4 linked regions of the Lonchura striata genome follow. The protein of the gene in region 1 interacts with the protein of each later gene in a pairwise test. Links are inferred from orthologs where the notes say so. Each region holds a gene or a part of one and is shown on either strand. Other genes may lie near its edges.

The links.
Region 2: the proteins of APPL1 (region 1) and UBE2O interact in binary tests that used the Homo sapiens proteins (3 or more experiments, as listed by UniProt). The two-hybrid records come from large-scale screens. The link is inferred for Lonchura striata from reciprocal best matches to the Homo sapiens genes APPL1 and UBE2O.
Region 3: the proteins of APPL1 (region 1) and FSHR interact in a two-hybrid assay, tested with the Homo sapiens proteins (2 studies listed by BioGRID). The link is inferred for Lonchura striata from reciprocal best matches to the Homo sapiens genes APPL1 and FSHR.
Region 4: the proteins of APPL1 (region 1) and FARS2 interact in binary tests that used the Homo sapiens proteins (3 or more experiments, as listed by UniProt). The two-hybrid records come from large-scale screens. The link is inferred for Lonchura striata from reciprocal best matches to the Homo sapiens genes APPL1 and FARS2.

Annotation. Positions count from the first base shown.
Region 1 is NC_134614.1:12,167,041-12,174,522, forward strand, and holds the start of APPL1 (DCC-interacting protein 13-alpha), read left to right. Parts: upstream 1-4,467; 5' UTR 4,468-4,529; coding exon 4,530-4,583; intron 4,584-7,482. Other genes in the region: HESX1 (homeobox expressed in ES cells 1), read right to left, coding at 1-38. UniProt on the Homo sapiens protein: Multifunctional adapter protein that binds to various membrane receptors, nuclear factors and signaling proteins to regulate many processes, such as cell proliferation, immune response, endosomal trafficking and cell metabolism.
Region 2 is NC_134621.1:4,067,291-4,074,327, forward strand, and holds the start of UBE2O ((E3-independent) E2 ubiquitin-conjugating enzyme), read left to right. Parts: upstream 1-4,022; coding exon 4,023-4,403; intron 4,404-7,037. UniProt on the Homo sapiens protein: E2/E3 hybrid ubiquitin-protein ligase that displays both E2 and E3 ligase activities and mediates monoubiquitination of target proteins. Negatively regulates TRAF6-mediated NF-kappa-B activation independently of its E2 activity.
Region 3 is NC_134605.1:20,629,210-20,636,164, reverse strand, and holds the start of FSHR (follicle-stimulating hormone receptor), read left to right. Parts: upstream 1-3,945; 5' UTR 3,946-3,948; coding exon 3,949-4,124; intron 4,125-6,955. UniProt on the Homo sapiens protein: G protein-coupled receptor for follitropin, the follicle-stimulating hormone. Through cAMP production activates the downstream PI3K-AKT and ERK1/ERK2 signaling pathways.
Region 4 is NC_134603.1:94,003,335-94,011,071, reverse strand, and holds the start of FARS2 (phenylalanine--tRNA ligase, mitochondrial), read left to right. Parts: upstream 1-4,716; 5' UTR 4,717-4,750; intron 4,751-7,737. Other genes in the region: LYRM4 (LYR motif-containing protein 4), read right to left, coding at 4,560-4,645. UniProt on the Homo sapiens protein: Is responsible for the charging of tRNA(Phe) with phenylalanine in mitochondrial translation.

The sequences.
Region 1 (7,482 bases):
AGCGAGGGACCGGCCATGCCTTCGCCCTCAGCCAGCATAGCAGGAGTACTGTACTTGCATTTCTCCACAAGTCCTCCTTATAGCCATGTTGACAAGGGGGTTGGATTTGTAACGTCATTAATTAAAATCTTTTATTAGAAAGTTTTAGCATGTCAATGAAAACTCTCCCACCAAGAGGCACGAGGAGTTAATTGTTTATTTGTTTGCAAGTAATTAGCAACTAATGGTGACACTAGGGGGGCCACCAAGGGGGACAAAGAGTGTTATCTCTCCTAACCAGAGCATCGACTTCACTTTCTCAAAAGAAGCTGTGCACAAATATAGTACTTCTCTTTTATTTGAAATCATTAATGTATAAAATCAGTTTTTTAAAAAACTTTATACTCTAATGGACTCCACTTACCTAAGCATAGAAGCATGATAGGAAACCAGTCAAGTAATAAGTAATCTTATTTAAGTGAATTTCCTTCCAAGGAAATTTAAAAAATAATCTCTTAATGCTATTAGGGTAATCCCGATGAAAATGCCTCTGTTTTTTCATATGCATATGTAATGGTGAACGTGGTCAATAAAACAACAATAGCTTTTGGCATAAGGCACTGTGCAGTGGGTTGGCAGTGTTGTCAAAGCTCAGTGTAATTGCCTTCCAAGTGCCTGGATTAGTTAATAGGAACAGTTGCACCAACTATTTTAAATAATTCATGCATTCATTTTTCTTATTAAAATAACTTTGTTGCAGCCTTTTTGAAACATAGCAGATATGAAATTTCCTGATAATTCTTCACTACATAAAGGCAAAGTTTCAAGTAATAGAAGTAGTACACTCAAATTTACAGGTTTAGAAGCATGCTTTTTCTCATTGATGTCTCTCCCTTCTTGTAGGTTTATAGCAAACAGAAGCATATTTAAATCGTACGGAGCCAACACTTAAAATCATAAAAACAATTATGAGTAATGGGAAGAAAGGAGATAAAGTCTTTGCAATGAAATCTGACAGAATTCTGATTTCATCCATTATAATAAAATACAGACTATAACATTTTTATATTCAAGCTCAACTGTCAGTCACACAGCAGTTTACATCACATGCTCTAAACCAGCTTTTGGTTCAGGACAAGAAAAGGAGGAATTTCTGTAGAGACACTATAAAATCAAGATTTGTCCAAAAGTAACAGGCAAAAATGAAAACAATATTTTTATTTTGGGAGGAAAAGTAACCCCACCTTCTGGCCTGACTTTGTGTTGTGCAGGAAGATTGTTGTCAAACTGAACTATTAAAAGAGTGACAACTCCAGAAGTGATCTTACCAAGGACACTTCTCACACATATCAATGGATCTTGAAGCAGCATGCATCCGCCTGCAATCTTCGCTTGCAAGATGAGCTCCAGTCACCATTTATGGACCTTAAGCCTTCTCTTGGAAACTGTATTTCATTGTTTGGCCCATTAGTATTGACCAATACTACCTTGCAACCCATTTGAAATTACCTATAGACTTTAACTAAATACCTTGGTAGGGGTAATTAGAGCAACACAGCAAACATTAAGTTGGGAATCCTAAGTAATCAATAATAGGAAAACGCACTGCTCCTTTGGATATGCAAATCCAATCCTCTTACAGCATCACATACTTGATGAGGCAGGAAACTAATCTCCCTTTCAGACTCTGCACCACTGTTTTTCACCCAGGGACAGTGGAGTTCATCTCTTTAGGAGAAGGAGTCTCGTTCTCCAGAGATGGGAAGCCTCCACCAGCTGTTTACTCCAGCTGAGGAAACCACACCAGTGCTCTTGGGGTTTTGGTCTGAAGGCCCAGTTCTTACTCTTGCTGCTTTTTGCTCTTCTCACCACTGCTACTGCACTGCTGGGTCACCTTTCCCTAGAGCTTGGGCAACATTTTCAGATTTTTAAAAGGGTATAAATGGTATATATTATCTTTCTTGATTACTTATCACACTCCAAAAATTCACTTTTCACCTCACCTTTCCCACAACCTCTTTACCCAGTATTTCACCACCTCAGAAGTCATGCTGCAATAAAGCTCTTTTTCAAATATGTTTTTAACACAAATAACAAGTATTATTTTCAAAGCCAACTTCAGAATTCCCAAGTTTTTTTAAAGCAAGAATACCTCAAAACAGTACACCAATTTTCACAAAACAAAGCAGTTAGCTATTTCTTGAAGTAAAAGCTACTTTGACACAGGAAGATTAAGTGAATGCAGCTAAATTCAAGGTTAATCCAAGGTTGCCACTAGCAAAAGTATAAGAAAGTGTGTTAAAAAGTGGGAAACGTTGCAAATAAAACCTACCTTATCCACAGAGCTACTTTCACCCTCCAGCAGAGGCAAAATGTTCTCCCCATAATGGCACACCTCTGGAATCCTCTGAAGACATGTTCACTGCTCTTCTCTCTGTTGACAAAGTGCCAAGTATTAATTCTCCATATTTTTAAGGCTTCTTAGAAGATATTTTGCAGAAAAAACAACAACAACAAAATATAACAACCAAAAACCAACAACTGCCCAAAAAAATCCCCAAACCAAACAAAAAACCCAACTCCACAAATCAAAAAGCCCAAACAATAAAAAACCCCACTCACACTAACAAAAGGTCTACAATGCTGAAAACGGTGTAACACTAAAACAACAATTAGAGGATGCAGAGGGATTCTTCAACTCATTACTCTTACATTTGTTGCAGTCAAATTTGTAGCTCAAGTAAAACTCTTGGATGCCACTCACAGCTGTAAATACACAAAGCGAACTAAACCAAACCCACTTAAAGTTACTACCTCCTGAATTCCACTGGGAAAATGATCTTACAGTACAAAACAAAGTAATTTCTTATTGCTGTAAAGACTGCTGTAAAGCTTGGTCACAAATTAACTGTCTCAAAACCAGAAAGCACAAATATATATACATCATGATATGTTAATGTCCATGACAGGACTTAGTCTGTTAAACACCTTGTAAGATAACACTGAATTATTACCCTTATTGACAGGGAAAGGGAGAGGTGCTGTGACTTGCTTCAGTCAGGTGAGTCACCAGCTGAGCTGGTAAATTAATTGACTGAACAGTATTGGAAATTTCTTTACTACTCCCTACAGGGAAAAACAAAGAACACAACAGCAAAAAAAAAAACAAAACAAAAAAACAACCAAAAACAAAACCACCCACCACCCCCTAAAAAACCCAAACCAACAAACAAACAAAAGCCACCTCAAAAATCTTTGTTTGCAATTTAACACACCCGTCCTGTCCTTTATCTGCTTTTAATGGTAAATCATAACCTGATACAACATAAAGAATGGTCTCATAGCAAGACTGCACCACAATAATTGATCATTTGCTCTGCTGAATGAATATACTTAATATGCTTTCTAATCTGGTCTTCACTAAATTCACCTGGCCCCAAAAAGGCAAAACCAGCAAGGGAATAGCCTTTTTTTTTTTTTTTTTTTTTTTTTTTTCTCCCGCCAGATAAGAACTATCATCAAGTCTACCAGGTCTTGCTCTCTAAAACTACCTGAAAAGGAGGTTGTAGCCAGATAGGGATCATTCTTTTCTCCCAGGTCCAAGAAGGGACGGGACCAGAGGAAACAGCCTCAAGTTGTGCCAGGAAATGTTTAGACTGGATATTGGGAACAGTTTCTCCATGGGCAGGGTGGCACTGAAAATCACCACTCCTGAAGTGTCCAGATGTGAGGATGTGGCACAGGCACGTGGTTTAGTGGTGAACACGGGCTCCTGGATTAAGGGTTGGACTCAATGATCTCAGGTCTTTTCTAACCTTAAGGATTCTACAATTCGAAGTAATTTCAGAGCTGAACCAGTTCCCAAGTCCAACCAATGATCTGTTTTGATTACAGTGAGCCCTCACAGTAGTTTTATGCATTTAAAATTTGCCACCAACCTATGGCACCACAACTATTCAGTCTAAGAGAGCAGAGATACTATTTTCTAACATCTAATCAGAATCTCTCCTGTCTCAGCTTAAGGCCTCTTGGCGTCTCACTGCAAGCACAGTAGAAGAGGATGGCGTCCACTTGGGGCCCATCCACATGGCGGGGATAAGAGGAGACTTGCCAAAAGGGGTGCTCCAAACAACATGGCAAGAGTGCCAAAGACGCTCCAGAACGGCAGGGACCCAACAGCGCTCCCTTGCTGTGGAGCGGCCCTCCAGGTAACTGTCTGTGGGAAGACGCCAGCAGCCCCCGGAGCACAGACAGGGCTGGGAGGACGCTTTGCTCGGCAGGCAGGACTTTAGTCCCGGCAGCCACCTCAGCGGAGGCGAGCCCCGACAGCCCCGGCCTGAGGGGCAGCGCGAGCGCCTCGCCCCCGCGCCTGCGCGCGAACGGGCAGGCTCGCCAGCCAATGGGGAAGCCGGGCGGGCCAACGGGGAAGCTGGGCGGGCCAATGGGGAAGCGGGACGCGCGGGGGGCGGGACGTCCGGCGCGCGGCGCGCGGGGGCGGGTCGGGGCTGGCGGGGGGAGCGCAGCCGCGGGCGCTCAGCGCGGTCGCCGCCATGCCCGGCATCGACAAACTGCCCATCGAGGAGACGCTGGAGGACAGCCCGCAGGTGAGACCGGCCCAGCGCAGGCCGTATCGGGGCCAGCGCTGCCTCCGTGTTGTTCCCGGCCCCGGGAGAGCCGGGAGGACGGGTGACGCCCCAGCTGCCGCCCGGCCCCGCGGGGCTCCGGCGGTCTCGGCTCGGGCTTTCCGCCGCGGCCGCGTCCTGCGAGCGCCCGCTGAGCTCCCGGGAGAGCCGCGGGCCGGGGGCTGCGGGGCCGCGGCGCCTCTGGCCGGCAGCGGGGCTCCGATCCCCACCCCCGCTTCACTCCCAGGCTCCGTTTCGGACACCTCGTGCCCACAAAACCCGTGTCGCCTTCTCAAAACGATCTTTCCTCGTTGTTTTTCGCTAAGGCGCGTTAAGGTTTAATGGAGCCGCGTGAGAAGCGGTTCTGGGTGAGGCTGTCGCGGCGGTGGGAAGCGCACGGTGCCCGGAGGCCTCTCCTGCTCCGATTCTTCTCTTGCGTAGCTGCTGCCTGATCTGTGTCAGCGATGCTCTCTAGCACTGGAGTTTCTTTCTAAAGTAGGAAATGCTTTATTCAGTGGCTCTGGTTTCTCTTGTTGGCAGCAGCAACAGCAGGTCCTTGTGCTGTGCTTCTTAGATGTGGGGAAAAGTTTGCAATGTGTTTTCTTTTATGGCAGCCTTTTGAATTAAGATCCTTGTTGTGGTGCATGGTTTACGTTGTGAGCAGGGTGTCCTTTATTGCAATAGCATATGCATTGGTAGTTTTAATTCCTTGCTCACAGGAAGAGAAACTTTCGCTTGTTAAGAAGGGAACTTTAGTCCCTAAAGTTAAAATTATTTTAACAATTCTCTATCAAGTGGAAGGATGACTTTAAAAAGGCAGGAGAAGGCCATGCACAAAAGGAGTCATTGATTTCCCAAGGACAGTGCCCCAGATAGCTCAAATGCTGAATATGAGATGAGATCTGGGTTCTGGTCCAGGGGCCAAACCTGCTGTCATCTCATGAAGAGGAAAAAATTTTGAAAGTCTTATAATAATACTGATTTTAAAAAATTATCTCTGGAAGGTCTTTTCTTAGTATGAGGAAGTCAGAACTATTCGTATTTATAGGAAATGTCAAATGTAACATGAATTTAGGACTATCTGAGAACATTTGGGAAGCACATGAGAAAATGTTACTTATTGGAATGCAGTTATAATTCTAGAATCTTCCATGTGAGGTTAGTTGTGATACAGACAAGCAAAGGCTAATTCAGCCCGTTGTGTTTGAGATGCTTAAATAATTGGATTTGTCAATATTGTTTTTTGTTTTAGGTAGAAAATTTACATATTTCAGTCAATTTAATATTTCAGATGAATTCTGGGAGCCGGGTTCTCTAGTAAGCGCTCAGTGATTTTCTGTTACATTAGTTAATTGCTATATTAACTAATTTGTTACATTAGTTAATTTCTGTTACTTTGAAGTCAACGTGGTGGAAATGGCAGCAAATGTTGCTTGAAGAAAGCAGAAGCCTCTCTAGAGGAGTTGCTATGACTTGAATACATTCATGCTGAATATTGCCAAGCCCATCAGCCTGGGTGATTGTTTAGTGCTGCACCATGGCCTGGAGTTGTTGTTTCAGACACTGACTGTAGGTATATAAACGCCATATCAAACTTATTCTGTGTCTGAGGGAGGGAAAGGCTTTTCAAAATGTCCAAACCCATTCATTTCCTGTTGTCACAGGATCAAAATCTAACCACTGTGCTTGTCAGGCCCAAACCAAACGCCAAGTTTACATAGTCTTTGCTATGCAAAACAGGGCAATTTACTTATTAACCTAGGACATGTATTACACAGGAAGTCAGTGTGTATTTGGAGAGTTTCTGCTCACACTGATTTGCGTTCCCGAAGCATTGCACAACAAACAAGCCAAAAGACTGGTAGCACAGGCTCTGTCTCCTGTCACCTGCAGTGCCCTCCAGCTGATGGCACAGACAGCTTAAAGCTGACTTCTAACGCGGGGTTTCATCGTGCAGCTTCTCCTGGTCCTTTCCTTGCTTGCTCACAAACACGGATTGAAAGACACTGAAAGAAAATGCCAAATGATGCAGAGTTTTACTAGAAATACAAGTGATCTGCTGTAACGTATTTACAGTTTCAGATTAATTTCTTTCCATTAGTATAATATGATATTGTTTTAACAGTTGAGCATCAATAACAGACATTTTTAAAGTAAAACATAAAATTTTTTTTTCCATGTTCAGTTTTAAAGAGTAAGCATAATCTAGAAACCTTACATAATACTCCTTTAAAATTACAAGCTTAGGTTTATTTATGTTCAGGTTTAAAGGTCATGAGTATATAATTCAATGGTTATAGTACCATGTAATTTTTCCTTTTGCATTCTTTCGTGTATGTCTACCTTAATGGCGCAGTCAAGGCTGTTAGGATGTCATATGTTGCCACACCTGGCAAAGATTTGAGTTCTCCACCTCTTTCCACTTCTTTTATAAATTAGAACCATCATTAAAGCTATTTATTGTGCTGATGATGTTTTTTAATGTTTAAATATCTTTTAGATGTTCTATAGCTTGACAGTAGTTGTGATACAGCCAGGTATTTAATAATGCAACTTAGATAAAAATATCTTATGTCAAAAGAATTGTTAAATAAATATACTTTATATGGGTTTAATATGTACTCTTTGATTATCATTAAAAGCAAAAAATCAGAAATAGCTGAAAAAGGCCTTCATGCTTCAAGGGGAGATGGACTAAAGATATCAGTAATTTCAAGACAGCCTAGAGTAGACTAAAAAATATAATTTCCAATTTCAAGTGTTTAACAATCATAGTTTGGGGGGAAAATCAATTATGTGCTTATGATTATTTAAATTTTCTTCCTGGACATAAATTTTAGTGTAATCCTAGAAACAAAGCATGGTCCTTTTGCTAAAACAT
Region 2 (7,037 bases), on another chromosome or scaffold:
GGGCATCCCCCGTGGGCATCCCGGCGCCCAGCGGGCATTCCAGTCCCTGTGGACATCCCAGAGCCTGGCACACATCCCCGACACCCAGCAGACATCCTGGTACCCTGCTGGCGTCCTTACACCTGCCACACCTCTTTGTATCCTGTGGGTATCACCTGGCAGGCCCCCCCAGCACCCTCTGGGCACCCCAGCACCTGGCCCTTAATCCCTGAGCAAAAAGGCCCTGGGAGAGAACCGAGGAGGAAGGACAGGGCTTGCTTTTCACCAGTATCTCTACAGGGAGATAAAGGGCATCCCGGGTGTCCCAGCACCTGCTGGGCATCTTGGCACCCTCTGGGTATTCTGGCACCCTCTGGGAACTCTGACACACCCTCCGGGCAGCAGTATCTCAGCAGGGAGACGCTGGTGATCTAACCTAAGTGCCATAAGGTGGTTAGATCACAGGGACAGCTTGGTTCCAGGGAGGATGTTCTCCTGCAGAGTAAAGGCCGTCCCTTCCCAAAACAGCCTTACCAGCAAGAATTGTCCCTAAACAGGCAGCGAGGCTGCTTGGCATGTGTCACTTTGCAAAAGTCCTGCGTGTTTTGCTGGGTGATGTGGACTTGCAGAGGTGCCTCAGTAGACATCTGAATAGTGATGTTAAATAGGAGAGGCTCATTTTGACACCCAGGCACTGTAAAATCTGCGGGCTGTCAATATTGTGACAGCCAAGGCCCTGGGCTGTTGTGTCCTAAAAAAGCAATCAGTCCTCCTTCAGTGCCACTTCCTGAGGGAAGCATATCAGAGCTCCAGCAGGGATCAGAGTGCAAAAACACACCCGGCTCGACTCCTGCTAACGAGCAAACAGCCCTTACTTGTCCCCATTATAATCCCCCTGCCGTCAGCCCGGTCAGGGGTATAATGTGATTGTTTTCATGGCTATTTGTGGCTACCTGAAACCCCACCACTGCTCTTCAGCACATAATAGCCCTGAAGAGGGACAGTTTCCATCTCCACATATGATTGTGCCCATTACTGTATCTATATTTTATTAGTGGCTGTTGCAATGTACATTAAGGAGATGTACATTTATCGCTGTGCTGGATAAAGCTCAGCTTTGAAACCTCGAGAAGACATGGCATCAGATTAAATGAATCAAAGGGCACCTTCTGCCTTTCTCAAAGGCCTGATTCTGCTCCCACAAAGGCACAATTCTCCCTGGCTACAGAGGGAGAGGAGTTGCTACCTTGTCCACAGCTCCAAGTGGCTGGATGAACGCCCTGGGGAAATGTGTCATACTCCCCCCTCCAGCACAACAATGGTCAGAGGGTGAAATCCTCATGCCAGAGACACTCATGCTCTAGAAGTTCTGAATGCTGCCTATCAACTCTACAGCTTGTCCTAAGAGGTCAGGGCACGTGGATGTAGGTCTGTGTTCCCAGGAGCACATCCCTAGAAACCGCTGTAAATCCACAGTGGCACTGAGTGGGTATTTAAACTGCCTTTCCCTGTGGGGCATGATGCTTTTTAGCCACCCAATGGTCCCTTTTAGCTCCATTCTGTTTCTTATCCCTGGGGTTGAAGCCAAAAATGCTCCAGCAAGGAATCACATTAAAACACTGCCTTTCTCATTAACAGGATGCTGTGGGGAGAGATTAAATGCTGGGGTGGAGGCTGGCTTGGCCTGGGAGCAGGCAGGGGCTAGAGGGCTTCACTGCCTGCAGCTCCCTGATTTGGAGGCAGGACAGGGTTAGTTTGTACTTCTCCATCCCTCCAAGCATCCTGCTGCCCTGCCACCCACACCCAGGGGCAGTGAGGAGCTGGGCAGAGCTCCCAGTGCACCCATCACCCACACACTGCCTGCCCAGCATCGTCTCAGCTGCTTCCCAGAGCTTTAGGGCCATTTGCAAGATTGGAAAATCCCAATCTTGAAGAGAGGGTTCCAGAATGTAGGAGGTGAGCACAGGCCACCTTTATCCTGGTTGTTTTTCCTAAATGGAGAAACCTTGGAAGGTGAACTGAAAGCCAGTTGGTTGATCCAGCCAAGGCAGAGCAGTCTGAGGGAGAGAACAAGAGAGAAAACACTGCTCTGCTGCTCCTGGAGTGTTTGCTGCAAGAGAACAAATTAGGCTGAGGATTTCAGGCATTTTTGTGATATTCAAGCCAGTGCTGCACAGGCAGGAAGGTCCAGGAAGAGAAGAGGCAGAATGTGTTGTGCTAAAAGATAGGCAGTGAAGGCTATTTTGGATTCCTTTAGTCCTTTGCCTGCCAGAGCAGCAGGACCTGCTCAAAAAAACTTCTCTGTTTACAAAATCTCTGCAGACAGAGGGGGAAAAGCCTTAGAGTCAATGAAGCCAAATATTCTGCTCATTTGCATACACTAATGAGGGCTTCTAGGAGCCATGAAAAGCAAGGCCAGGCTTTGATGTCAGCTGGAGAACAGCTCCCAGCATCGAGCAGTGCCAGGGTGGACCCCCACCTGTGCCCAGGCTGAGGGGTCTGCAAACAGCACAGCCCCCATCAGTGGGGAGGGGAGGTGATGCAGGGCAGCCCACAGTGACTGAGAACTCGGGGAGGATGAGGTGCAGTGTCCCCCCACCACTGGGGCTCAGGGACAATGCACTGCAGCCCCCCCCCATCTCCAGGGACCAGGGGATGATGCAGCTCAGCATCCTCCATCCCTGGGGACGATGCAATGCAGCCTCCCCTCCCAATCCCTGGGGTTCATGGGATGATGCAGTGCAGCCCCCCATGCCCAGGGACCAGAGAACGATGCAGTGCAGCCCTCCACATCCCTGGGGATGATGATGCAGACCCCCCCCCATCCTTGAGGATGATGCAGAGCAGCCCCACACCACTGTGGGTCAGAGGAGGATGCACTGCAGCCCCCATCCCTGGGGGCGATGATACAGTCCCCCCCATCCTTGGGGATGAAGACGCAGTCCCCCCATCCTTGGGGATGAAGATGCAGTCTCCCCCATCCTTGGGGATGAAGATGCAGTCTCCCCCATCCTTGGGGATGAAGATGCAGCCCCTCCAATCCCTGAGGGCGATGATGCCGTCCCCCCATCCCTGGAGATGATGCAGAGCAGCTCCACACCCCTGTGGGTCAGAGAACGATGCACTGCAGCCCCCCATCCCCGGAGGCGATGCTGCAATCCCCCCATCCCCGGGGGCGATGCTGCAAACCCCCCATCCCCGGGGCCGGCGATGCAATCCCCCCATCCCCGGGGGCGATGCTGCAATCCCCCCATCCCCGGGGCCGGCGATGCAATCCCCCCATCCCCGGGGGCGATGCTGCAATCCCCCCATCCCCGGGGCCGGCGATGCAAACCCCCCATCCCCGGGGCCGGCGATGCAATCCCCCCATCCCCGGGGGCGATGCTGCAATTCCCCCATCCCCGGGGGCGATGCTGCAAACCCCCCATCCCCGGGGCGATGCTGCAATCCCCCCATCCCCGGGGGCGATGCTGCAATTCCCCCATCCCCGGGGCGATGCTGCAATCCCCCCATCCCCGGGGCCGGCGATGCAATCCCCCCATCCCCGGGGGCGATGCTGCAAACCCCCCATCCCCGGGGCGATGCTGCAATTCCCCCATCCCCGGGGGCGATGCTGCAAACCCCCCATCCCCGGGGGCGATGCTGCAAACCCCCCATCCCCGGGGCCGGTGATGCAATCCCCCCATCCCCGGGGCCGGTGATGCAATCCCCCCATCCCCGGGGCCGGTGATGCAAACCCCCCCATCCCCGGGGCCGGTGATGCAATCCCCCCATCCCCGGGGGCGGTGATGCAATCCCCGTTCCCGGGATCAGCAGACGAAGCCGCCCCCGCCCCAGCTCCGGTAACGCGGCGGGGCCGGTCCCGGTCCCGCCAGGCCCCGCCCCTTTCCCGCCCGCCGCGGTGGGCGTGGCCTGCGCCGGCTGTGGGCGTGGCCTGTGCCGGCTGTGGGCGTGGCCCGCCGGCCCCGCCCCTGGGCCGTTACTTGCCGCCCCTCCCCTGCCCTCCCCCTCCCGCCGGCCGCGCGCTCCCGCTCACCGGCGCCATGGCGGACCAGCCCGAGGAGGGGGCACCGGCACCGCCGGCACCGCCGGCTCCACCGGCTCCCCCCGCCGCGCTGCCCCTCTCCGCCCCGCCGGGCGGCTCGCAGCGCCTCCTCTTCTCCCACGACCTGGTGTCGGGCCGCTACCGCGGCTCCGTGCGCTTCGGCCTGGTGCGCCTCATCCACGGCGAGGACTCGGAGGAGGACTCCGAGGAGGGCGGGCGCGGGACCGCGGCCGGCGGCGCCGCCAGCTCGGGCGGCTCCGAGTCGGGAGGCCCCGGGGCCGGCGGCGGGGAGGACGGCCGCGCCAGCCCGCTGCGGCGGGGCTACGTGCGGGTGCAGTGGTACCCGGAGGGCATCAAGCAGCACGTCAAGGAGACCAAGGTAACCGGGGGCGGCCTGCGCGGGCCCGGGGCCTCCCCGCGGGGCTGCCGCCGGTTGCACGACCGGGGCGCCGCCTCCGGGGCCTCCCGGGGCAGGGCCTGCGGGGTCGGGTGCGTTGGAGGCTCCCGAGCGGGGGGGAGGTCGCTGCCCCGTTTGCCCCGTGCAGCCAGAACACACAGCCGGCGTTCCCCGGAGTGTGAAATCCCCTTCCCTCCCTTCGCCACGCTCGCTCTGGCCGCCCAGCGTGGATGCTGCTGCTGCCCTGCGCTGATGGCAGAGCACGGCTGCTGTGCTGAGGCGGTGGGGCTCGCTGGCGGAAGGAGAAGTGGGCCTGTGAAGGTGATTTGAGCCAACTTCCAGACAGCTCCTACTTGCTGGAGTTGTAGGCCGGTGTCTCAGCCTTTACTGAGCAGTGTCGTCACCGCCTGTGCTAGGGGGAGTCAGCAGTCCAGCAGGGAAACCACCCCTGGATAAAGGTTTCAGCAGGAAGCAAACACGGTTTGGATCTGCCCTTGTTTACGTGAGCATTTACCCCTTGCTAATGAGTTGCACGTAAATCTGTGGCATCTTAATTATATCTGACGAGGCACAAGGTGTGGGTCTGCCTTGGAATACTCCCACTTGGCAAAGTTGGTCTGGCCGGGGGTTTTTTAGCCCAGGCTGACTGACAGTTCGGAGACAAAAGCAGGCGAGGGGGGCACTGTAATAGAGCACAAAGGGGCTGCCAGGGATGGGCGTTGCACTGAGCTGCGCTGTCCCTGCAGGCTGCCCCTGCTCCTCTGGGCTGGCAGTGCAAAGCAGGAGGCTTCTGGAGAACCGTCTGCTTTGCAGAAGGCAAAGAAACGGCCCCGCACGCCGCAGGAGAGAGGGGAGACTGAGAGGAAGAAAGGTGTGTTGCAGTCTTAAAGGCATCGCTAGGATTGCCAGCGCTACAGAATGAGCTAAATTTAGGTGGTAGTGTCATTAGACACGTGACTGCTTGGAGATAAGGAAAATGAAAACAGGTATTCTGAAAAAGATACTGCCACGTTATGTATTTCTACCTTAAAAAAAAAAAAAACCACCTCTTTTCCCTAGAAAAAACTCCACAATTCAATCACTGCAGCCTTCCAGTAAAATCTTCATGTGTTGTTGCAGCAAAAATGTGTCCCAAGTTCAGTTTGGTTTTCAGCATCTAAGCAAAGCCACTTCCATTTGGGTGAGTAACCGTGGATTTAGTTGGTGCTGTTGGGTTCCTAAATCCAGAAGTGTTAGCTCTGACTTCAGTCACTTGGTAACTACACCCATTGCAGTGTTAGAAGAAGCTGGACTGAGGGGGATCAGAAATCAAAGACACTTATGTAAATAAACAGTCTCTGTTTTTCCTTTTAGTGCTGCTGCCCTGGTGTAGGTGCCTTTACCACTCGGGTAATGGACCCTGGAGAGAAGTTTCCTGAGTGCTAGAGAAATTTAGGTGTACTTCTATTGATTTTTTTTTTTTTGGAAAGCAGCCCACTAACTAAATTGAGAGGCATTGTGTACAGTCTGTACTGCAGTTTGGGGTTGCTGAAAACAAACCTGATGCCACTGGAAACATGCAGTGGGACTGATCATGGTTTTGTGGTTATAATTGGGTTTTTTAGCTGTTTGCTGACCCAGTCTCTTTTGGGTTCCACTGATGTGTGAGAACCAGCCAGGTAAGCCTGACAGGCTTGTCATTGTCCTTGCTGGTACAAACCATTATACGTTTTTCCTGGGTCTAAAGTTTTTGGTGCTGTTGCCTACAGGTACATCTTTTGGCTGTGCCTGATTCTCTGGCATCTTTGGCTGTGAGGGTCTTATTTGATGTCCTTAAAACATTAACCTGTCCTGGTGACAGCTCAGCCCTGGACTCCAGAGGATGCTTGTTGCACTCTTTTATTTCCCTTAAATCTGGAATGGGCAGAGGGTAAAGGTGCTCTTGGGGCCAGGGCTTTTGTGTATCTATTTAGTGTATCAGGTCCTGATTCCACACAGAAGACTGCCTGTCTACCTCCTGTTTGTCAGCTGCTTCAGGATCTGGGAATCCTGATGTGTACTGGATAGAGCAAGTGTTGTAACCGAAGGAGAAATAAAGTTGTTGGGAAGTTTGAGTCCAGTGAAACAGCACCTTTGGCTTCCAGTGCAAAGGTCAAAAGCAGTGTTCTGTACCCAATTAATCCTTGAGCTTTCCTGTCTTTTCTTGGACAGTTTGGGGTTTTTTTGGTGTAGGTTGTCCAGTAATTTTTGCTGTTGGTTCTGTTTCAATGCTTGCTGTTGCTCTTTCCTGTTGGGAATGGTAGGCAGAATGCCACTTAAACCCAGGCACACAATTACTGATATTAGTCAGTAATAGAAACTTTCTCTTGAGATAGAGCTCGGCAGTTGGTGCAAAACCCCACCAGCTCCTCCAAGAATTGCACATGTGAGCACATTCCTGCCTTTGGTTCCCCTGTTGATAACAATGTTCCCCAGCATAACAATTATGTGAATAAAAAGAGACAGGATTTCTTTCTCTGTGGCTTCAAGTGCTCCTTTTCTGCTTTCCATGGCAGTATCACCCATTTAAGACATTGGGAAATCACTGTCGCTGAGCATTGTAAAACCTAAGCAGACCTGGAAGGAGAAAGCTTCCTT
Region 3 (6,955 bases), on another chromosome or scaffold:
TGAGGCTGGGAAACATCAGTAGAAACAGTATTTGCTTAATTAGCTGTCATGCTGTGTTTCAGAGGAGAGAAACACAAGCAGATGCTGCTGTGAATTTGCTTGCCTGTAGGTTGATGCACTCCAGCACCTGGTGACCTTCCTGTCTTAAGGAAAATCCAACAGCTGGATTTAGGTGCTGACCTGGCCACATGTACAGTGCAGTGAAAGGGCTCAGAGCTCTCTTTGAAGAAAGTTTATCGAGGGCAAACGAAAGAGAGATGGGATGGCTCATTTTATTTCCCACTGTAACCTCATCCATCCAGGTGACAGCATGGCCCAGGACAGGCACTGCTGCTTGGTCAGAGGATGAAGTCTGTAGATCCCCTTGGTTCCTCGGGCTCAGTGTTTGTAAAATTCAACCAGAGCTAATTTTAGAGGCCAGTGCTGACTTTAAAGGCCAGTCCTATCAACCAGACTCCCTAACTACCATCTTAAGAAAGATCCCCTGTTGACTGCATAACCTTGAATTAACTGTTTGTCTCAGACACCATCTAATTTCATAATCTGTAACACCATCATTGAATATCTGTCGTAATTCACTTAATTGCATCTCTGTTGCTACAGTGCTTCAATTTGGGGAAATTTCTGTTTTCTTACTCAGGAAAACAGTTTACACTCTCAAGACCAATTTGCCAGCTGGAGCATAGTTCTGCAAATGGATGCAAAGATAAGGCTCTCATAAATATCTGAAAGCACCATCATCTCTGCATTTACACATTCAACAGCATGAATCTCAATGGCAGTGCAGGCTTGCTCCTAGCACATGATTCTCTGATGGTGGTCCCCTGCAACAGGCCCTGTGGGTTTTCAGGCATGGTCATAGCTCCAATCTGGCACTCAGGAATTACTTGGGAGTGCAAAATCCACAGAAAGATACCAGAAAGTGTTTTTTTCCCCTCTTTTACAAGAATTTTCTTCTCAAGAGGAGATAACTGTGCTCCTGAACTGGGAGTGAGAGGATCACCAGCTGATTAATCCATGCAGGGGACTGTGCTGATGTGGCTGTGTGCCATTTGACAGTCATGTGCAGAAACAGGACAGAGTTTCCCAGTTCAAAACATGAATAGACACCAGAATCTATTCTTTAAGGGCTTGGATCATATATTTAAAACAACTCAGAGATCCTTCTGAATGTTCATGTATCCTCAGGGAGTTTTAGTGTGGTCCTGATTTAGTGCTTGCTCCAATATGAATGAAATGTCAGTTTTGTTTAGCATACTAGCCTGATTTTATTGAATGTAATGATACTTGCATGTTTCCATCAAAATCTTATCTGTGCAGTATTACAAGAGAATCTTGAAGTCTGGATAAGGGGTTTATATTATTTAATAATTGTCATCTCATTCTTAACTGATGTAAGTGAAAGTGGAGCAGTGTGTACTGTACTGATAAAATGGTCTCACCAGATAAAAATGGAAAAGAGACAACCTCCCTCCAATTTTTATTCATTATGTTCATGATTTACTACTGAGCCCAGCCCGATGTTTTAAAATATCTCTTTTAAAAATATCTCTTTAATATTTTAATATTTTAATATACCTCTTAAAAATATGTTTTACTAGCTGTATTAAAATCAAACATACTTATTATAGTTTTGGTTTCCCCTAATTAATTTGAAAAATGCCTTGTAATCATTGTGATATTTTTTGATCTCCTGACTTTTATATATAGAATTATTGCTATCATCTGAAACAACTTTCGTGGTTTGATATATGAAACCCAAAGTTAATCAAATTGTGATGTCTTAATATGAGTGAAAATTGTTTTGACATTCAGAGAATGTTACCACTTTTTCAACCATGTCATAAATATTACTATCCATTTCACCAATATAACATGACCATTTACACTGATGTATTTCAGTATGAAGAGATACAGCTTAAATTCCTTTTTATCCAAATACTCTTGTACCTTTATATTCTTCAAACTTCACATTTCATTTTTTGGAGATTTTCTCAGCCTGCTTTTAGTCTGTGACTGCAGGAGTTAAGGACTTTGTATGGAAAAGACAAAACCCCAAAAGCTTTGAATGCTTTGTCCTCCTGGCATTTGTTTAAATCCTGAAGTGTGTCGTTATTCCAACTTTCAGTGGGCCACAGCAAAATGTTAACTAAATGGGAATTTATTTGATCATAGGGTGCAATTCTGCAGTTCTCATCCCATTGGGGATGAAGGTGACTGAAGGTTTTACTCATTTCAGAAGACCTTGTAGGTTTAAGATCTTTCAAAGGAAAGGGAAGAGAGAGAGATAAGGAAAAAGTCAGTCGGTAAGGTTTTAGAAATTCTTTTTTCTGGAAGTCACTGTTATTCTCATGAAACTTAGAAAAATGGACTCTGTTATACACATACAACTAAAAGAATACTCTTACAACTCATTAGAAAAATAGCATTGTTAGAAAAAGATTGTCATGTTTTTTTCTTTTTTTTCTGTGAATATAAATTCTCATCTTGAGTAGGTTTTAACGACTGGGTGGAAAATAACAAATATTTGGTACAAATAGGGTAAATCTTTTTAAGAATTATTGTAATTATTTTAAAATATTAATTAGTTAATACATCTTAAGATACATCTATATTATGAGGCTTGTTTTAAAAGTGAGAATGATGGAAATTTTTGGCCATATAATTCAAAGAAAAGATGTTGTCTTTTGTCTCATTACATTTTTTAATGCTTTTTGATTATGAAAGAAAAGGAAAGAACCTAACAATTTAAAAGAGCATGACAAACAAGCTAATAGCAGCTTTTAATAAGATTATGAAATCCTTCCAAGCAGTGGGAAGAATTAAATGTGAGGTTCAGCAGAATCACCCATGGCTCCCTCATGTATTTAAAATGCACATGATTTATAACCTCTGTGTGTCTGAAACAGCTATTTACAATTTAAAAGAAAAACAAACAAACAAAACACTCAAAAAATTAAAAAAAAAAAAGAAAAAATGCCACAAAATCCTTTATGTCAAGATGCTCATTTCAGGTGTCTTCCAGAAAAGCTCTGGTTTCAGGTGATGGCCTGGTGCTTGACTCAGTGACAGCAAAGAGTTCACATGGCCCCTCTCTCAAGGATTAATATTTGTAGTGAGATAATTTAGCTCAGTCAAAAAAGTCAAGAAAACAAATAGGGACTCAAAGACAAGATTCAACATCCAAGTCTTCTGATGATAATCTTGAGGCTGTTTTCCTCCTGTTGTGTCACAAATAGTCATTTGGCAATATTTCTAGGATTTCTGTTCCACATGATGAAATTAGTTTACCAGTCCACAGGGACAATTTGGATTTTGGAGTTTTCTTCTGTTTGGATTCCAATAAAGATGCCAAAGGAAAAAGGGAGATGAATCAGCAACTGCATGAAAATTAATCACAGTTGTGAAAAAAAGGGTGTTATTTAGCTCTGGTTTCAGGTCTTTTACCTCATTAGGCAGACTATGTAGAATAATAACACCTTACTTTTGCCTAGGAGAAATACAAACGCAGGGGCCCTTGGATCCATGAGTGGGAGCATAAATAGTGGCATAAATAGAGTGCTTCTCCTTCAGGGACAAAAAGGGTCTGGGCTGTAGAAAGTAAAAATGCTTTGCTGTCCCTTGGTTTCACCAAGCAAGATATGAGAAATAGTGTAGCTGAGAAGGAAGAACCTTTTCCCAGCATATTAAAAGAGCCCTGGTTAGTACAGCTGGGCCCCCTGATTTCAACACCACTTGAAACACAAAATACTTGTGTCATGAAAAAATCAGCATTTGCTCATCTCTATCCCCACTCCAACACCATAAGGAATCTGGGGTCATGAAGCGGAGCTTGCCGAGAAGTCATCCCCTAAGAGCCACATGGTTTGTCCCAGCTTTTGGGGCGGATCTTCCATCCAGGGAGCTGGCCTGGGAGGTCTCTGCATGCTTCCCTTTCCGATAAAGGGGATGGGCACGGACGTGGAGGCAGAGATGCCTCCAGCCCTCGCCTGCCTGCTGCTGCTCCTGGCGGGCTGCCTGGGACACCAGCATCACGCCTGCCGCTGCCTGGCCAGGGTCTTCATCTGCCAGGAGAGCCAGGTGCTCCAGGTTCCCCGGGACATCCCTGCCAACACCACCGAGCTGTAAGTCGGGAAAGGGAGCGCTTGGGAGCAGCAGCCTTGTGGCTGGCTCTCCAAAGGAGCTGCTGCTGGGCAAGGCAAAGGTCAGGTTTGCAGGGGGTCACTTGGGAGACTTCACGCCAGCTGCTTGCAGAGAACAGCCCTTCCTCCAACACGCACTTAATTGCACCTTGAAAATCCTCTCCATTTGTCTGATCTTGAAACTCTTCTCCATTTCTCTGATCGTGCTCATTGTAAGATGTCTGCTAAGAAAGGATTTTGCACATTATAATGCAAAGTGCAAGCAAAATTTGAAACAAGCATCCTTGGTGCTATGACAGTAATCTGAAACATAAAGTCGAAGCTTTTTTACAGCTTTGCTTTAGCGTTGTCGGAACGTGCAGAGCAATTTGTCTGCCCCAAACTACTCGATGATGAGTGTTTGTTTGTACTGCAGGAGCCTTCCAAAGGTTTGTGCTCGTTTGCCAAGAAGCAACTTAATGTTTTCCCTTTGAAATCTTAAAGGCATTGCAGAAAGGACTCTGATAAACATTCAGAGAGGGATCCTCCTCCACCAGAGGAGCAGCGTGGCTGTGGTTGGAGAGAGTGAGCAATGTGAAGATAGAGGAGGGGTTTTGTCTATCTTAAAGCTTCTCATTATTTTTCATAAAAGTAATGAAAGCTGTATGGCAACTGTTTTCTGTGTCAGTAGCACAGGCAAGTGAACAAGCTTGCGCAATGGCAAGTATCTAACTGCAAGAGATTGTTTTCATTTTAATAGTTTTAAGGCAAATATCTCCCTTTGCCAACACCCCCACAGACATCTGGCATTGTTACAACCTAAAGCAAAACCAAAAGGAGTAGTCCTGGATGAAGCCTTTGGTTAATAACTGAAGTGACAAGTTTGAAGGGAGGATACAATGAAGAATGATGTGTCACTAGTTAGAAAAATATACCCCCATTCCAGTCTTACATACCCCAGTATATCCCTGGTTATTATGCCACAGTTTTCCTAGGGCAGAAGTTTTGTTTTCTTCAGAAGGAGGAGTTGTTATGCTCACTGACTAAGCAGACTGCAGTGAAAACTTGAGAGAAATGTCTGAATTAACCACAAAAGGTCAGCAAAAGTTTAAATCATTCTCACAATTGGAGGAAAAACTAATCCATCTGTGATTTAGGTCGTCTAAATCCTGAGTGAACTGTGCTCCAGGCGTATGCAGCTAATTTTGTTTAATTTTGCTTTGATTATTTCTTTAGATTACACAGTTAAGGTCTGCCTTCTAGGGATTAAGCAAAAGCATTTTTTAATTATTTCTGCAAAGAAGTAGAGTATCGCTGAAAAGCACCTGTTAGTAAAATGGGATTTGTTTTCTCCTTGTTAACTTCTCAAGAGTTTGTTGAGGATGCTAATTTGTGGGTTCTTAGCATGAGTGTTATTCTTTGAAACAGGCAGAATACAACATTAGTGTGACTGAAACAGCAAACAAATCCTTTCTTCTGCCAGTGCTGTGCAAATACTGGATTTAGAATCTCTCAACTTGACTCTCTTCTCACTTTCTCAAAATAAACCAGCTTTTGGTTTCTCAGGAAGTAATTCAGGTCCTATTCCATTAGTATAGCCCTGGGACTGATTTCAGCATGCCTTAAAAATTTGAAAAGTGCCTAAAGTAGCTTTGAATATACCAAACCTTAGCATTACCAAAGCCAGATACATTAGCTGAAGAGCTATCAAGTGACAAATAAATCTTAGATTTTTCCTTCAGGATCAACGGGGAACTCTAGAAAAAGTGCTTTCCTCTGCATCTCTCCACTGAGTGCCCAGTGGGGTGATTCAGGTGACTAAAATAGGTTTTACTGCTCCAGATGACACTGCAGGTACACTCCTGGTAGCAGGAAAATCTTGCTTTATGTTTTCTCAAAAAGTCTTAATGGGTGAAAAGAGTTTTTTGTTCAGTGTACCAACTTAAGCACAGAAGGCCATGGTGTCTAAGAACCCTGTACAGGACACAAACAGAGACTTCTTGCTATGTACAGCTCCTGCAAGGTAATTTTTTCACTTATGAGCTCATTCTGGGAGTCTGGATGCAGTCTGTTTTTATTTAATATAAAGGAGAAGGGTCCACTTCATTACACTTCCAACTCTTCACCTTCCCTTATGTGATCTTGATAGCTTTCCTGAGTTATCTTAGAGTCCTTCCCTAGTGCCTTTAAAATGTTGAATAGCATGTTGGTGAATGTTTTAGAGTGAGAACAGGAGCCTGATCAGCCTCAAGCACTTCTCCCTTTGCTGTGTGTTTGTATTTCACTACAACTGTGTCTGAAGTTGGGACACAGGCATGTGGCAGCCAGCTCTGACACTTGCTAGGAAAACTCATTATAAAGGTAAAAACAGTGCCCTCTCTAACAATTATCTCTTTGCCATCGCTGAATTTTTTAATTGTTATTATTTTTTAGTGCTGCCGTGAGGGATTTCTTTGTGGTTGGCTTCACAACAGAGAGAGCTTAGGCTCCAAGGGAAACTTGAGCTCTGCAGTGTGGTGCATGAGACAGGGGTTTGATCCTGGCTGGATTAGCATCTGCTTTAGCAAGGGTGTTGCAGAGGGAAGGCTGGTAGCCTCTTATGTGAGTGATTTCATTTCGTACTTACCTTGCGGAAACAGAGCAGGGATCAGAATCCACATGCTTCCATCACTCTAATTTCTGACACATCTACTTTGTCACTTACAGGCCAAAATCTCATGAGAGATTACAGGCCAAAATCTCATGAGATTACACCTTGGTTTGTCCATTGCTTTTTGCAGATTTCCAAGCACTCTGCAGCTGGCATGTTCTGGTGTTTATAGGGGAGGCTGTGG
Region 4 (7,737 bases), on another chromosome or scaffold:
TTTTTTTTTTCCCTCCCCTGGGTTCCCTCCAGAGTTCTCTGCTCAGCCAGGCTGGTTTTCTTCCCTGCTGGCTCTTCCAGCACATGGGGAAAGCCTGCTCCTGTGCCTTGAAGATTTCTGTCCTAAAGAATGTCCAGCCTTCCTAGAAACCACTATCCTCCATGACTGTCTCCCTAGCGACTCTCCCAACAGGTCTCCTAAACAGGCCCAAATCTGCCCTCTGGAAGTCCAAGGGGGCAGTTCTGCTGATGCCCCTCCTTACTTCTGTGAGAATTGATAACTCTCTCATTTCAGGACCACCGTGCCCAAAGCATCCTCCAATCTTCTCATCACACAACAGTCCTTTTCTCTTGGCAAACCACAGTTCCATTGGGGCACCTTCCCTACTTGGTTCCCTCACCAGCTGCATTAGGAATTTATCTTCCACACACTCCAATAACCTTCTAGACTCCTTTCTCTCTGTGGAATTATATTCCCAGCAGACATCTGGTAAATTGAGTCCCCACAAGAAAAAGGGGCAGCAATCTTGGGACCGTTTTGTGGTTCTGTGTTCCATGAATCCCTAAAATCACATCAACAACTGTGTCAGTCAAAGTAGGAAAAGCAACTAGCACTGAAAAAGACCAGTGCAAATTATTTTGCTCAGTTTTGTTCCTAGGTTAGCAGTCATTTACAAAAATCAGATTTACCAGTTTTAAAATCTTGAAGGACATGTTTCAGATGAAACTGCATGCATTCAGTTAACTTGTTTCCAATGCAAAACCAATCAACAAATTTGTTTTGACAAATTTTCTTCCCTGATTCTTCTATATTCTGGGTAGCTTTATTAGTCAAATAATAGTGCACATTCTAAAAGAAAAATCAAATTCCATTAAAATGCAATTTAGAGAGACGAGAAAGAAATGTATCTATAAATAAAAATACAACTTCCACCACTTAAAAGAGAACATAATGGATAACTGAAAAAAATTTGCAATAAATCATTACATTAAAAAACATTAAAAAATTATTTGCAGATAAATTCCAACAGAGAGGCTCAAACCTTCTGACATTGCACATAACTACAAGAAATTAAAGAAACAGAAAGCAGATGAGCTGGAAGCATGTCCTATGATGTTACCCTGAACTTATTACCCATTGTTAGTACCTTTATAGGGTCAGGAAGGCTAGGGATCTGAAAATCATACTAACTTGGTTAGCTAGACTCTGGAGCTTTTCCAGGTCAATGTCATAATTGACATCTGCATGCAACAAGGTGAGGTTAGCCATGATGCTCTTTGGATAAACCTATTATGAAAACCTTCAAAAAAGGAGATGACAAACTCTCTCAGGGAAGACCTGCTCCAGTTCTGCACTGCCCTGGAGAGACCTGCCTTCCAAGAGATTCCCATGTGTTAAGACCACTGAGATTCAGTCACATTAAACAAACAAGAAATTTTAAAGTTTTGATTATCTTAATTTGCAACCATATGTGTTTTATTGGCTTCCATAAGTTTATAAATTCTTTTGTGTTCTGTACCCAAATCAGTCACAACATGCCATTATTTAAATCACTAATGATATTTAGAAATATCACTTAAATCCATTTAGTTGAGACTATAATCCAACATAAACCATATAAACCATCAGAGGTTCTACTTTTTGTCAACCAAGCAGAAGAAAATAGTACACTTGTTAAAAACCAGCTCTTTGACACAAAACCTAACGTCTTGCCTCTCTGCATATTGATTTTCCTCTAGTACAAATCACTCGCCCATGCTCAGACTGTCTGCTTGGGTAATAGGGCAGAAGGGCAGACATGAAATTACTTACAGTCTACCAAATTCTCTCTCCCTGCTGTTAAAACCTGGCCTACAGCTGGCCTACACTTCTGGGTGTCCAAACACCCTGTGACATTTACTTCGGGACACTGGAGATGCTTCTGTGTTATTCCGAAGGCTGACAGTGGTGACCTCAGTTACTTTAAGACAGTTACTTTAAGGAATATATTTACTCAGAGAGACATAAAAAAGTTGAATTTTCTATCACCATCTACTCATACATGTGTCTGGTTTTGTCTGGGAAGTAAAATTAATTTTCTTTCTAGTAGCTGGTACAGCGCTGTGTTTTGGATTTAGGATGAGAGTGATATTGACAATATCTTAGCAAGCAGGGTTTATACTAAGTCAGGAAGTTTTCAGCTTCTCACATCAACCCACCTGCAAGTAGGCTGTGGGCTGCTGCTCAGGAACTGGCTGGGCATCAGTTGACAGCAACTGTACTGTGCATCACTTGTTTTGTATATTCTAATTATTATTATTATTATGCATTCCTTTTCTGTTCTATTAAAACGTCTTAATCTCAACTCACAAATTTTACTTTTTCTTCCCCCTCAGTTCTCTCCCCCATCCCAAGGGATAGGCGGGAGCAAGCAAGCACTTGAGTGGTGTTTAGCTGCCTGCTAAGTTAAACCAGAGCAACCAAATTAGGAGAAAAAACACAGTAAACAAATAAAGAGACATTAATTAGCTGATCGTACTCCAGACATACTCTTACAAATACACAATTTGCAGTAATAAACTATTCAGATACTGTCTAGCTGAAGTCATGAATCAATAGTCTGTAATACCTTCTACTTGGCTGCAAGTTGGTTCTTCACACGAAGTCCTTGGGTTAACTCCATGAACTGCCATATCACATTACAGCAGCCCTGAGGACACGGCAGGGCTGCTTATCTTGGCAAGCAAGAAGCCAATGGGGTGTCCTTTTTACCTATGGGTGTGGTGTAAACACTGAGGCAGAACTGTTTTGGTCGGAACAGACCTCTAAATGTAACAGCTGCCGAACATTTCTTGCTATGGCTTTTCATGCTCACAAACGTGTCTACAGCATAAGTTTTTAGACAGTTTCTGATTTTATAGTATCTAAGGATAGCCCCATCAGAACCAGAGATCTATCCTTTAAGGAAAGGCGCAACTTGCACTGTGACGTGGTGTCAAAAAAACCAGATCTTCCTGGTAAACACACCATATCATTTATATCCTTTACAATTTGCTGTGGACTTCACTTCCTCACTGCTCACCCCAAAGTACAAACCCATTGCTGGAAACACGCCACGGCCCAGATATGAGCTTCATTCAGCTGTTTGCCAACTGCGCATCTCAACCCATCTCCATGATTACAATCCTGCCTTTGTTAGCCAGAACAAGGGTAACCAGGGACACTCAGGACAGCAACGAGCAGGAGAAAGCCTTGATAGCAACAGAATGTGTTACAAACACACATTGCTGCATGGAGTCAGCAACAAATGTTTATTAGCACCAGCTCATTTTCAGCCCCATAGTCCTTCTTCTCAGGGCACTCCCTCACACCTGAGGTTTGTAGAATACTTGTGCCTTGCAGAGCAAAGAGCTCACCACAATTATGCAAGTTTAAAGGCTTCTGTTCCCAGTTCTTGCCTGAGAGATGATTCACAGCACAGGTAGCTCACATATCCCTTCCCGAGGTCCAGCTGAGTGGTAAAGTAAACGAACTACCATTGGGCAATGCAATTCTGTCAGTGTGGGTGAGCAGCACCCCCTGTGAACACAGCGGATAGCTAAAGTGACCAGGCCTACACCTAACTTTTGCCAAAAAAATGTGCATGCCTTTCACTCACAGCCAGAGAAGGCAGGCAGAGAGCCTGGTATCCAGTTTGGTCGGAAGAGTGAACTCTGATTCCTCAGTGCACCCTGAGCATGGACACAGCACATGGTGCCAAGTTTTGGCAATAGCCTGACCCCAGCTCTCCTCTGCCAGGAAATCGGCAACACACGGAGCAGACATGAGCTATATCAGGTTCACAAAATTACAAAATCATTAGGATTGGAATGGATTTCTGGAGATCATCTAGGCCAACCCCTGACAAGGGAGGGTCACCTTGAGCAGGACCACATCCACATGGGTTTTCAATGCCTCCAGAGAGAGAGACTCCACGAGCTCTATGGGCAGACTGTTCCAGTGCCCCACCATCCTCGTTGTTAATAAGTTCTTAATCATGTTGAAGTGAAACTTATTGTGCTTTAGCTTGTGGCCTTTGCTCCTCATCCTGTTGCCACCGAAGAGTCGGGCATTATCCCCATGACACCCATCCCCGAGACATTCACACGTATTAATGAGCTCTCCTCTTAGTCTTCCCTTCTCCAGACTAAGCAGGCCCAGCTCCCAGTGTCTCCTCAGAAGAGAGATGCTCCAGACCCTTCCTCATCTTTGTGGCCCTCCACTAGACCCTCTCCAGCAGCTCCTTGTCCTTCGTGCATTGAGGAGTCCACTCCCAGCACAAGTACTTGGGACAACCTGTCCTGTCCCTTCTTCCTAACATCCATCCGCTGGTGCTTTTGCGGCAGTGCAGAGGGCCGGGGGCTGCCCATTCCCTGCGCTCCGAGCCGGGCCCGGCCCGGTACCGGGCCCAGGCCCGGTGCGGGTCCCGCTGTCGCTCCAGGGCACGGCTCGGCTCCTCCCGAGGCCGCAGCTCCGTGCGCCGCTCCCCGCGCCCCGGCGGCGTGCCCCGCGCCCGCCGCCCCCGGAGCCCTTCCCCGCACCTGTAGTTGTAGCTGCTGAAGCGCTGGCTCTCCCGCAGCAGGGCGCGGTACAGCCGCAGCACCTGGGCACGGCTGGACGCTGCCATGTTGCCGACACCGAGCCGCTCCTCCCGCGGCGAGGCCCCTTTTCCCCGCCCTCCCGCCGCCCGCGCCGGGCGCAGCCGCGGCGGAGCGGAGCCGCAGGGCGGGCGGTGAGTGGCGGCGGCCGCGGCTCGGCCGGGCCTGGCGCTCGGCGCGGGCGGGGCCGCGCGGGGCGGGCGAGAGCGGGTCCCCGGCCGGGGACGGCCCGCGGGCGGCGGGCTCGGGGCGCTCGGGGCCGGTTCCCGGGTCCCGCCGCGTCGGGCCTGCCCGCAGCTCCGGCAGGGATCCCAAGGCGCGACTGCCCGGGGGTGCCTGCCGGGCTCGGCCGTGCGGCTGTGGAGGGCCCGAGGGCGGGGAGGGGAGGCCCGAGCGACGGGGAAAGCGAAACCAGCGCTCCGATGCTCGGCCGGCGCAGCAGCGCGGTGTGCGCGCCCCGGTGTGCCGCAGGGGGAGGGGGGTGCTGCCGGGGAATGGATGTCGGGGCTGGAAAGGAGCAACAAGTGATGTGTGCAGGGGGTTGCCTCGGAATCGCTGTATACATTCGCAGTCAGAATTCATGTACTGGAGAGGATTCCCCAGAGGCCACGAAGGTGATTTAGAGTCCGGAGCATCTGTCTTCATGAGGACAGACTGCGGGTGCTGGGCCTGTTCAGTCTGGAGAGCAGAGGACTGAGAGGGGATCTCATTAATGCATCTGAGTATATCACAGGTGGATTACAAGAGGCTAGCATGTCCAGTGATGCCCAGCAAAAGGACGAGGAGCAGTGGCCATAAACTAGAAACCAAAGTTTCACCTCAATGTGAGAAACAACTTTACATTAAGGATAGCAGAAAAGGTGGAACATGCTGTGCAGGGAGCTTGTGGAGTCTCACTCTCTGGAGACAATGAAAACCCACCTGGATACATTCCTGTGTCACCTGTTAGGAAGGTTGTACTACATGATCTTCAGAGGTGCCTTCCAACCCCAACATTCTGTGATTCTCTGAAATCACTATAGACAATTGCAGTCATTGTACATCTGTGCTAGCGTACCAGGGCCTGTGTTGTTATAGTGATGTTTGAATTGTTCCTCTCTCAATATCTGTTTCTAAGATGATTTCTGTTATTTAAACCACATGTCTTCCTTTGCTGAAATTTTTGCCACTGCAGAATAAACTTAACTTTGTAACTTGCAGCTATATTTAATACTGGTTTTTGAAGTTTATCAGCCATTTATTTAGTCATAGAATCATTAAAGTTGGAAGAGACCTTTAGTCTCCAGTGCATCTGTCCACCCAGCACTGCTACTGTAACCCCTAAACCATCTCACCCAGAGGCACATCCAGGAGTCTCTTGCCCACTTCCAGGGATGGTAACCACCATCTCCCTGGGTAACCTATTCCAATGCTTGACCCCCATAACAATGTATTTTTCCCCGCCTAATATCTAATCTGAATCTCCCCTGTCTCAGTTTAAGGCCCTTTCCTCTGGTCTTCTCACTGCAGTCACACAGAAGAAATTAGTCCCCACTACTAGAACCTCCTTTCAGGTATCATGACAGGGTTCCTGCTTTTTTCACAGGTTGCTATTTATATGGTAGGTGTTTAAAACAACTGCCATGTAGATATTCCACATGTCTCTGGCAAAAGTGCTTCAATTGCCACTTCTAATTTAACTCATGTTTTATTGCATATGCATTTGAGTATTAACATCAGTTGTACATCTGATGCAATTTACAGTTCATTGCAAAGAACTAAAATAGTTCTGTGCTTTTGGATGTAATTAGTATAGACATGAATTTATTTCAAATTTACCTTCACAGATATGCTGTGTTTTAGCAATCCTTTTAGGCTTTGGAAAACTGAGAGTTTTTGTATGTAGAAAATTTCCTGGATATTTTCTTTATCTCTTTTTTCTAGTTTATCCCAAACTATAAGTATTACAGGAAATGTAGAAAAACATATGCAGCTGCAGTACTGGGATAAGCATCATGCTTCTGAGGCCTTCCCTTATAAGTTACAAACCAGTGTGTTTTGGGTTAGGTCTTGGCATTCAGGACACCCACATAGAGAAATACAAAGAAAGCATGCCTTTCATTTGCCAGTGGGATCAACCAAATTCTCCTTACAGCCCAAGCCATGTTGTTAAAGCAGATTGCCATGCCAGAAGCAAAACCCATCTGGGGTGCTGGTGCTCCCCATCTCTGCAGCTGTTGGTGGCTGGGCAGCACCAGTCATAATACATGTTACAAAAGAACTCTGGCTTTGTGTCTACAGACTTACCTTCTCTGAAAGCAGCAGTGGCCACTCTGCCCTTTTTTATGAGGGTGGGCTTCAGACAGCTTAAAATGATATGGGGCTGTCACATAACAGCCAAACTTAGGTTTGAGAGTTAGCAAATTTATGTGATACCATACTGTTGATGAGTGTGGCAGTTGTTCCATCTAATTTTACAATAGCCCTCAGGTATTATTGCAAATAAAGTTTTCACAGTATAATCCTCAGCTCTAAAAGATGAGGGTGTAATTGGGATGAAAGCATCCAGCAAATTCTGTTTACAAGAACAGTATTAATTTAATGTTTGAAAAGTAATCAGAAATAATTTTTAGATAGCCTCAGATGCTAATTCTGTTCCTGAAACTCCCTAACAGTTTTTGTGAATTTTAATTTTTTTTTTTAAGGTAACCCTGTTTTTTCTTGAAAAAACCTAGAAATATCCTATGTTTAGAATAAGCAGTAAGCCCATACAGTGGATGATCAAATGCAAAGTAAATTTATCAAAGGAGAAAAGTCTTTCCTCTTGTCTCCTTTTTCTAGCTTAACCTTTAATACACTCAAGGACGGTATTTTGTCAGAAAGGAGTCACCTTTGTGCAGTTGGGTTGGCACTGTTAACTAGAAAAATTAATGACTTTCTCCTGCATTTGTTGTTGTGTTTCCTTGGAAATGATGGGTTATGGTCCCAGAAGTTGTATCATTCTTCAGGAAGTGGACAGTGCTGTGGCTGGGATACAGGTGGTTCTGCTGGCCTTTGTTTATGTGCACCACTGCAAGCCTGCAGGGCATTCAAAGGACAGGCACAGCCCAAATGACCATTGCATGTCCTGTGACACTGGAGC